Linked DNA regions of Nothobranchius furzeri. The protein of the gene in region 1 purifies or fractionates together with the protein of each later gene. This does not show direct contact. Links are inferred from orthologs where the notes say so. Each region holds a gene or a part of one and is shown in the gene's direction. Other genes may lie near its edges. The genes, in order: jazf1a and nr2c2.

Evidence for each region.
Region 2: the proteins of jazf1a (region 1) and nr2c2 purify together in Homo sapiens (affinity purification with mass spectrometry; 4 studies listed by BioGRID and IntAct, with this or other methods). This does not show direct contact. The link is inferred for Nothobranchius furzeri from reciprocal best matches to the Homo sapiens genes JAZF1 and NR2C2.

The regions. Positions count from the first base shown.
Region 1 is NC_091751.1:29,727,613-29,732,179, reverse strand, and holds the start of jazf1a (juxtaposed with another zinc finger protein 1a), read left to right. Parts: upstream 1-1,511; 5' UTR 1,512-1,648; coding exon 1,649-1,763; intron 1,764-4,567. UniProt on the Homo sapiens protein: Acts as a transcriptional corepressor of orphan nuclear receptor NR2C2. Inhibits expression of the gluconeogenesis enzyme PCK2 through inhibition of NR2C2 activity.
Region 2 is NC_091755.1:54,623,738-54,628,000, reverse strand, and holds the start of nr2c2 (nuclear receptor subfamily 2 group C member 2), read left to right. Parts: upstream 1-1,159; 5' UTR 1,160-1,345; intron 1,346-2,426; 5' UTR 2,427-2,454; coding exon 2,455-2,508; intron 2,509-2,650; coding exon 2,651-2,746; intron 2,747-3,441; coding exon 3,442-3,642; intron 3,643-4,263. UniProt on the Homo sapiens protein: Orphan nuclear receptor that can act as a repressor or activator of transcription.

The DNA.
Region 1 (4,567 bases):
GTGGTCAAAAAGCTCCTCAATGGCATGGCAGTCCCGAAGGGTATATAGGGGTTTGCCCAATTGATCTACAAGTGTTTTGTGGATTTGGAAAAGACGTTCAACCTTATGTTCCAACCCTCATCTAAGGTCATGAACTCTGGGTAGTGATTGAAAGAATGAGGCTGTGGATAAAAGTGGCCAAAGTTAGTTCTGGGTGCCAAGGCTTTTCCTTGGAGATAGGGTGAGAAGATTTTGTCATCTGGGAGGGGCTCAGAGTAGATCCTCATGCTCCTCTAGATCAAGAGGAGCCAGTTGAGGTGGCTCAGGCATCTGGTTATATTCCTCCTGGATGCCTCCCTGGTGAGGTTTTCTGGCCGCATCCAACTGGGAGGAGACAATGGACAATGGATGGAAGGATGGACTTTGAGAATGTTCCTGTGGCTATATATGGACATAGCTGCATGGCCAATCAGCTCAAAAGAAACCCCAGTATGATGAAAATCCTTATAAGTAATGTATTATTGGTAGAAGCTGGACCTTTTTAGAGGTCTTCCTGGGTGTGTGAAGGTTGCCCTTTTGGGGGCCCTGGGCTTTCCCATTGCTCTCTCGTAATTTAAAACCTGCCTATCATATAAAACTGAGGTGATGGAGGAGAAATCATGGAAATGTTGTAAATTTTAAAAAACTTTGCATTAATCTTTTCTTGAAGTAGCTGTTAGCTCAGATGTTATCTCTATTTCTCCAAACTGAGTTTGTTCAAAAAGCTTCGACATGAAAGATGGTGATAAATTTATACGTAGAAACAACTTTATTCCTTTTATCGAAAACCTTTATGCATGAATTTGTTTATTTTGTGACAAATCCGCTCTTATGTTTAAATCTATACATGATTGTTGTTTATTTATTATTCATTAAAACAAAGTAATGAGTTATTCTGCGGCAAACTGACTGATTACATTGACATCGGTTGTATTAAAAAGTAAAATATAACCTGAATAAATGGTTGTAGTTGTTTTAAAACAGTAATTGCATTGTAAATCAATCACTTGGTTCCGCCTTTGTCATTTTATCAAGGTTTTTGGTTTAAACTAATTAAAACATTATAATTTTCTACTTGAAACAAGTGCCTTTCTTTTGGTTGATGTAAACGTCATTTTAATTGATCATTTACAGGTGATGTGGTTTAATCTACATTGAAATGATACGATTATCTTTAAGCTCCACGTGAGGCTTTGACTGAAAAACATCAATGTGTTCGAATAAAAACATACATATCTAATTAAGATGGTGAATTCTGCCTTTTGTTTTCTCTGTTTCTGAAATCATCCCAGAACACTCAGATGTTATAAGTGAGGGAGCATCACAGATGCTGCTCAGATTTTCTGCTGATACTCAGCGCGCGCTGACTCCAACAGGTAAACACATCGTGACGTAGAACGCTACCCTTCCTCCCCCCACCCACCCACCCCCATCACCACCACCAGCCTCCCAGCTGCGTCCGCCGCTGTCCCGTCCTGTCTGGCCGCCCTCCCGCCCGGTGTCTGCTCCACGCTCTACCCCGCTCCCGTCCCGGACCCGAAGCCTTTGCCTCCTCGTTCACCAACCCCGGCTCCCGGTCCACCCTTCTTCTCCACCCCTCCCGGTGAATGCACCACCAGCGCCGTGAAACATGACTGGCATCGCCGCCGCTTCTTTCTTCTCCAACTCCTGCAGGTTCGGGGGCTGCGGTCTCCAGTTCGAGTCTCTGGCCGAGCTCATCGTCCACATCGAGGACAATCACATCGGTGAGTCCGGGCCGGAGGAGGGGGGAGGCGGAGGGGCTCAGCGGCTAGCCGGAGTCGGCTAGCATGCAGCTAGCTACATTCCGCTATTTCTGCTGCCCGCTCGTCGTCGAGGTTCGGCAGAGAGCGACTTCCTCCTTTATTATTATTATTACACATGTATTACATTGTAATGTTAATATACGTTTAATGACACCATGCTTGTGATTTTAGCATTGGCGAGTCGAGCATGGTAGGTATGATAGGTGTAGCATCCCGGCCAGGCAGCGGTTTGTCAGCTAACAGCGCTGATAGGTCCGTGTTTACGTACCAGGCCTGATGCTGCAGCAGCAGCCCGACCCCCCAGTCAGAGCATCCCTGTCTGCTCTACCTGCACAACCCCCTTACGGCTCTGACGTCACTTCAGGCTAACCTACACAAGTCAGAATTGGATCTTCCTGCAGATAAAACAAACCGTTTCATTTAATTATCAGACATTCTGACTCTTATCGGTTATAAATGAACTTTTAATTTGTTTCCCTTCATTTTAATGACTTGAAGTAAATGCTGCAGTCCAGAGGAAGGGGTGATGTCACGTTTTCAGCAGCATCACATAAATATGATCAATCTAAAGCTTCAGATCAGAAAAAAAACAACTGAATAAATACAAACAATAATGTCCAATTGATGGTAAAAACTATCCAAACCAACCTGGCCATGTGTGGAGAAGTAACAGACCCCCCTGGTAAATCATAAATGAACCTACTTTTTTAGAAAATTGAGTTCAGTTCCACCAGCCTCACCCAGACGTGATAACTACTGGATATGTAGAAATAAGACCTCACTTCATCAGAACCGGTCACTAGAGCAGGCTAAAAGATCTAAAAAAAAGCAACAATGTTCTGAATAAAAAAATATAAAAAACGATCACAGGAAATTACCTAAAACGCTTCAGGGCTCACTGGTTTTAAAACAAACATCACAATGGCAACAGTCAGACACGGTGGCGGTAGGGTGATGGTCTGGGGCTGCTGTGCTGCTTCGGGACCTGAGCCATCTGCTATAACGGATAAAACCATGAATTCTGCTCTCTAGCAGAACGTCATGAAGAGAACATCTGACCTTTGACCTTAAACAGGCCATGCATGCTGGGAAGCCATCCAATGTGGCTGAATAAGAACTATTCTGTAAAGAACGGTGGAACACAGTCCCTCCACAGTGGTGACACACTCATTAACAGGTAGGGATAACAATGTCTGGAAATGTTTCAGTTTGATTCACAATTGTATTCACATCAAGGTTAAACAGCACATAATTGATAGTGCAGTAATAGAAATCATATTATTAGAACATGTTTTTCTTTTTTATCTTTTATATGTTCTTGGAGCAGCTTGTGACTTTTATCTAGTGAGGCGGTTAATAAAAGGTATGTTCTTCTGGTTCTACTCTAACAATGCAAGGAAGAAAACTGAAGGTAGAAATAGCTTCGAAACATATTTATTAAAAAATGCACCCAGAGTGATCCCTGCATTATTTACCAAGGCCGGCTGCCTGGACATTTCTCCGGGCCGTCTGATTGTGTTTTTCTTTCTACACTCTAACACTGAACCAACATGTTTCACGTGCTTGTTCGAGTTACGGTGTGCCGTCAGAAGAAACATCAAACCGTTTTTTAAAGAAGAAAAGTTGAGCCTTCAAGTCCACTAAAGTGTTATTATGGTAAATCCTGGTCCGCTGCTGGAGACGTCTCTGTCCCTCACTCACCCACGGTGCTGAGAAACGGCATTGGCAGCAGATGGCCACAGCCACCATTATCGGCTGTAGCCCCGGTACCCCTCTCCCCTGCGAAGGGGAAAACCCAGATCAGGTCAGTCAGAAGCACAAAAAATCATCATGTGATCGCGTTGATTGAAATTGCAAGTTTGGTCCAAAAACGATAGATGGTTCAGCCCCATTAGCAGGTGTCACAGTCGAATTCAGCAGTAGTCGCTGAGGGCGCCACAACCACTTCCTAGATTTGGGCGTCGACTCGGGTAAAAATTGTCTGATTTTGAACGTTGTTTACTCAATCGAAACATTTATTTGTGGCTAAAATCCAAAACAGGAGAGACCTCTTAGAACTGTGTGTGTGCTTGAAAGGCAGTCAACAGATGAAAGACTTACTTATCTTTAGGGATTCTAGGTTTATTTTGCACCCTAACCCTGAATTATCATAGTTGTGGTTGATAATGAACATTTACCCAGTGGTGCATAACTGGTGCACCGATGGAACTAAAAGGATGGTGACACCACAGAGGAGTGCGCTGACTCGTGAACCTCTGAATAAAATCAGGGCTAGTCACTACTGGTGGCCAGTTTCTCTCCTCATGAGGCCGTTGGAAGGAGGTGAAGGGGTAAAATGGATGCTTCATTGAGCCAGTCTCCATGGCAACTGGCAGTCTCTGACAGGGTTGGGGGGGCAGTATGTTGGCTGAGTTATTGCACACCTGCTGTCTCACTAACAAAGAGCTCAGCAGAGCCGCCAGCGGTGGTGATAACACTCTAGATCATGGGTCATGTTGTGGATGATGGTGAGCAGGGCGTTTCCTTCCAAATTCACTGAAAAGGTTGAAATTAGCCCAGAATTCAATTTTATCACGCTGCACATCTCTTGATCTGCAGTTTTCCAGTGAATTAAGGATATTAACTAAGGAAAATGTGGACACAGGTATTATTTCCCCAGTCCTGAAGCCCCAAATGAAAAAAAAACCATAACAAACGCCCCATCTGGCTTTTGGTTTGCCCTTTGACTCCAAGTGTCTGTGTAGCAGAATGCTGGTTTAGTGGTC
Region 2 (4,263 bases), on another chromosome or scaffold:
CCTGTGTGTCCCGGTTCCCCAGTGTCCTGTAGAGTTCCAGTGTCCCGCGCCTGCTGCTGTCGAATTCCAGAGACCAAATCCCCCGAGTCAAGTGTTTCCCGGGTTCCCAAGTCACGTGTTTCCCGGGTCCCCTGTGTTATGTGGCCTTGTGGGCGTCTGGTATCTGCCCCTGCCTTCCTGACTGTGTCTCTCTCCTGCCCTGATTAGCCTTATTGTTCTCACCTGCCCATCGTTAACCTGCCCAAGTGTTCCTAATTTTCCCTGTGTATTTATACCTCCCGTCTTGTAAACTTCATTTGCACTGAGTGGTCAGAATGATGAACGAAGTTGTGTGCTGCAGGTTGAAAAATACGGAAGTGCAAAAACGGAAGTCCGTGGAGGCCAGCAGAATTTATCTCATAATTATGAGATACTAAGTCATAATTATGAGCTGCTAAGTCATAATAATGAGATAGTATCTCATTATTATGATAGCTAAGTCAGAGATAATAATTTTTTTTTATCTGAGTGGCGGGAATGGGCTTCCATAGTTTACCCTTTAAAGCAAATACTACTACTACTACTACTACTACTACTACTACTAATAATAATAATAATAAATGTAAGAAATAAAAATCCTTCAATCTGCATTGTTTTAAATAATACAGAGTTTTAAATTATTTAAAAACTGCCTTTTTAAACTCAGCGGACAGTTGTCTGCTGATCTGAAAGTGTCAAAACAGCCTGATGGAAGCAGCTGAAACAGAGAGGATGGATATGATCACAGACACCAAACATGTGAAAAGAGCATCTCTAAGGAACAACAAATTAAAAGTCAAATTAAACTTTAACATGAGGATTTTATATATAAGGGGTAGCCTACTGCTAATTTCACATAAACAACTCAAGTAAACTGTCATGAATAGAAATATAACTGCAAATATTTAAGGCCATGAAGCAGTCACAAGTAAACCAAAAACGAATATTTCCGTCAAATCCTCCACAAATCCAACGTGGTAAAATGCACTCATCACAAAAAGCGTATTCGACTTTTTTCGTCAAACTTGATCTTCACCACGTTATTAGTTTTACAATCAACGTGTCAATGAGCATTTAGACATAATGACGTCAGTTCTGTCTGACTCGCGACGTACAGTATATGTACAGTCTATGCTCGCGACCGATGCTCGCGACAAGGGTGGTGGGGAGGGGGGTGAATAGGCGGACGCGAGAGAGAGGAAGAAGGAAAAGTCATTATCATTAGTGCGCTGGCCAGGGGTCACGAACTATGACCTTTTCCAGACGAAAACCACAACAATAATATTTATTTAAAACCAGCAGAGCGCATTGAATTTGACTCTAAGAGGTAAGCGTACATGTTTTACTGAAACCACTCTCACGACTCTGGTAGTCGAGCAGAAAGGAGCTAATCTCGGTTAGCTTGTCGGCTAGCCGATGTTGAGCTTTCTTTCTGTCCGTGTCCGACTGCTCGGTATCCGGGTATGAACTGAGGAACGTTAGGGGCCGTCTGGCCTCTGTCATTAAGCGGAATGACACACGACATCACTGTCGGTTTGATTGGTAAACACAGCGGGAGACAGTTACGTTCAGCTGTTTGTAGCATTGAGCTAGCTTCAGTAGCTAACATCGGACAGCTCCCGCTGGTGAACTCGATCGACCCTTTTACCTTTGCCATCCCGTGGACGTGTGTGGATGAGGACTCTGTCGGTGTTATATTTTCTAGATATGTATTTTGAGTTGTACTGTTATAATAATTGCTGTTAGCTATTCTAATGTCAAAAAAGTCTCTTAAATACTAATTACCGTAATATCTATGGTGGTATTGGCTAACTGCCAAATTCTCCATTTTGTTTCATGGTATATTTGGAGTAGTGTCAATGATGGACAAATTGTTTGGCCAATCACTAAACAACATCAATCCATTCTTGCTGGTGATGTGCCGAAAAATGTACCCCTGCTGGGAAGCGCACCGCAGTCCTGGGAAGCACATTTCAGAGCAGCTGTTTTTTACGACCGTACAGAAATCCAAAGCGACTCCGCTTCTTACTACCTTTAAATAACAAATCAATTCAAATTCAAAAATACTTTAATAATCCCACAGGGAAATTGATTGGCCTAACTATTACACATGTATATAACGTGGGTTTGTCATGTAAAACATTGTAGGTAATGTTAGGTGCTAGTCTGTTCAAAAACATAAAATAAAACCAAAGATTCAGCCCCAAGTCAAACAAAATCATGGATATTTCAGCATCCTAAATGGCAGATTAGTTAGTTTGTCTAAAGCATCTTAAATCCTTCTTTGTTCAATGTTTTTTACCTGACACATTGCAGCTAGTATCTCTTGGTCATCACAGATCAAACGAAGATAAACACAGAATGAACATGCAAATAAGACTTAATGTCCTTGGTATCTCTCTAAACAGACCCCACCACTAATGACATCTCATCATTATGTCGACCAGCCTGAACCTGCTGTCACAGCAGAAAGCAGAGTCTGAAGCAGAGGTGAGTGTGCCGAGAAAGATTTTCACATTGTCCTGTTTCTTGGTAGGTTTTTATATAAAGTCAGTGAAAAAGCACTATAGACACTCATTTTTATTAGCTTTGATTGGGAAATGATCTTGGATAATTTGTTTAACTGGGCTAGGCGTTATCCTCTCCATCAGACTCCGTGATGAGTGAGTCTCCGCAGCGCTTTCAGGTCATCTCCACCGAGCCTGCAACAACACCACCGCAAATACAGGTAACAACTGGACCCCTCCTGCTGGCGCTCTTCTTTTAACGTCAACACAGTTAAGACAGTTTGACCGCTGTGACTGAAGCCTGACTTATACCTCTCCGTTTGCACTGGTTATGGAGACACGCAACGCCATGATGCGTCAACGTAGGTGCTCTGCCCATGTTTTTAACTGTTATTTGAAAGTGACTGTGCCTGGTCAGGGCGCCACTTCCTTTAAATTCATTAACAGCAGTGCCGTTCCCCCCTCAAAAATATAAAAAGAGCTGACTGAAGAATGTCTCGGAGAAAAAGTCGGACAATATGAATGCTAATACACCCGTAACTGAAGGAGAACAAAGATACTCAACAAATGTTTTATTAATGGAAGGAAATTACAGGAAACGTGGGTTTAGATGTGGCAACTGCACTACACTACACTATTGTGGACCAGTGACACAACTGCAGGAAGCCGCTACACCCTCTGTTGTCCTGGTGGGATATAGCTTTGCAACACTCTTTAGGCAATAAAAGGAAAACGTCTCCATCAGTGCATGTGTGACTCTGCACCTGAGCTGATGGAGGAGTCTAAATCAGGCTCTAGCTCTTAATTATTAATGTAATTCTGTCATTATCTTAACCTTAAACACGCTGGTGTCTGTTCATGCCCGTTGCCCATCTTCTTTTTTATAACCTACCTCTTGTGTCTCTCACATTGTCAGATTGTAACCGACCAGCAGACCGGTCAGAAGATCCAGATCGTGACAGCGATGAATCCTTCCAGTGCTCCCAAGCAGCAGTTCATCCTGGCCACGGCCAACAGCTCAGGGGCAAGCAAAGTCATCCTGGCCTCACCGGAGAATCACAACGCAAAGCAGGTCATCTTTACTGCTGCAGACAGCTTGATGCCAGGAAGAATACAGGTACAACTTCCTCATGAAGCCAGGGTTAGTAAAGAGAGTAGGGGTTGACAGATATATCGTTCGGCCGATATATCAGACCGATATTTGACATTTTTAACGCATCTGCATCGGCTGATACACCTCCTTAGTAAAGCCGACTTAAAGTCAGGCACATCCTCAGACAGCCCCGTGCCACTGCAGAATTAACTTAAACGTATATTTACATTCCTCAATAACATCTGCGTAATAAATACTCTAATAAAGTCTTTGCAACTAAAACTTTTTTTCATACTTTGGAATATTTAATACTTGGTCAGTTAATTGATTAGTTTGATTAAGTTTATTTAGAAGTTGGATTTAAACTCTGAGTGGTGCACAACATTAAGATTTAACTGTTGGTCAAAGGTACGACGGAGGGTATTTCTGAATTTCTGGAAATAACCGCCCCCTTCTTTCGACAGGAACCCGGTGAGAACGGTAAGGAATGAAGGCGGATCACTCTACACATAAACAGAATGAGCAGGAAATGAAAACTAACCCAGGAACGAGCACGTACGACAACGGCCTTGACGTGAAAGCTTCCCCAGAATGATTGACAGTTATGCAGACCAATGCTTCAGATGATCCACCCGGAAGAACAAG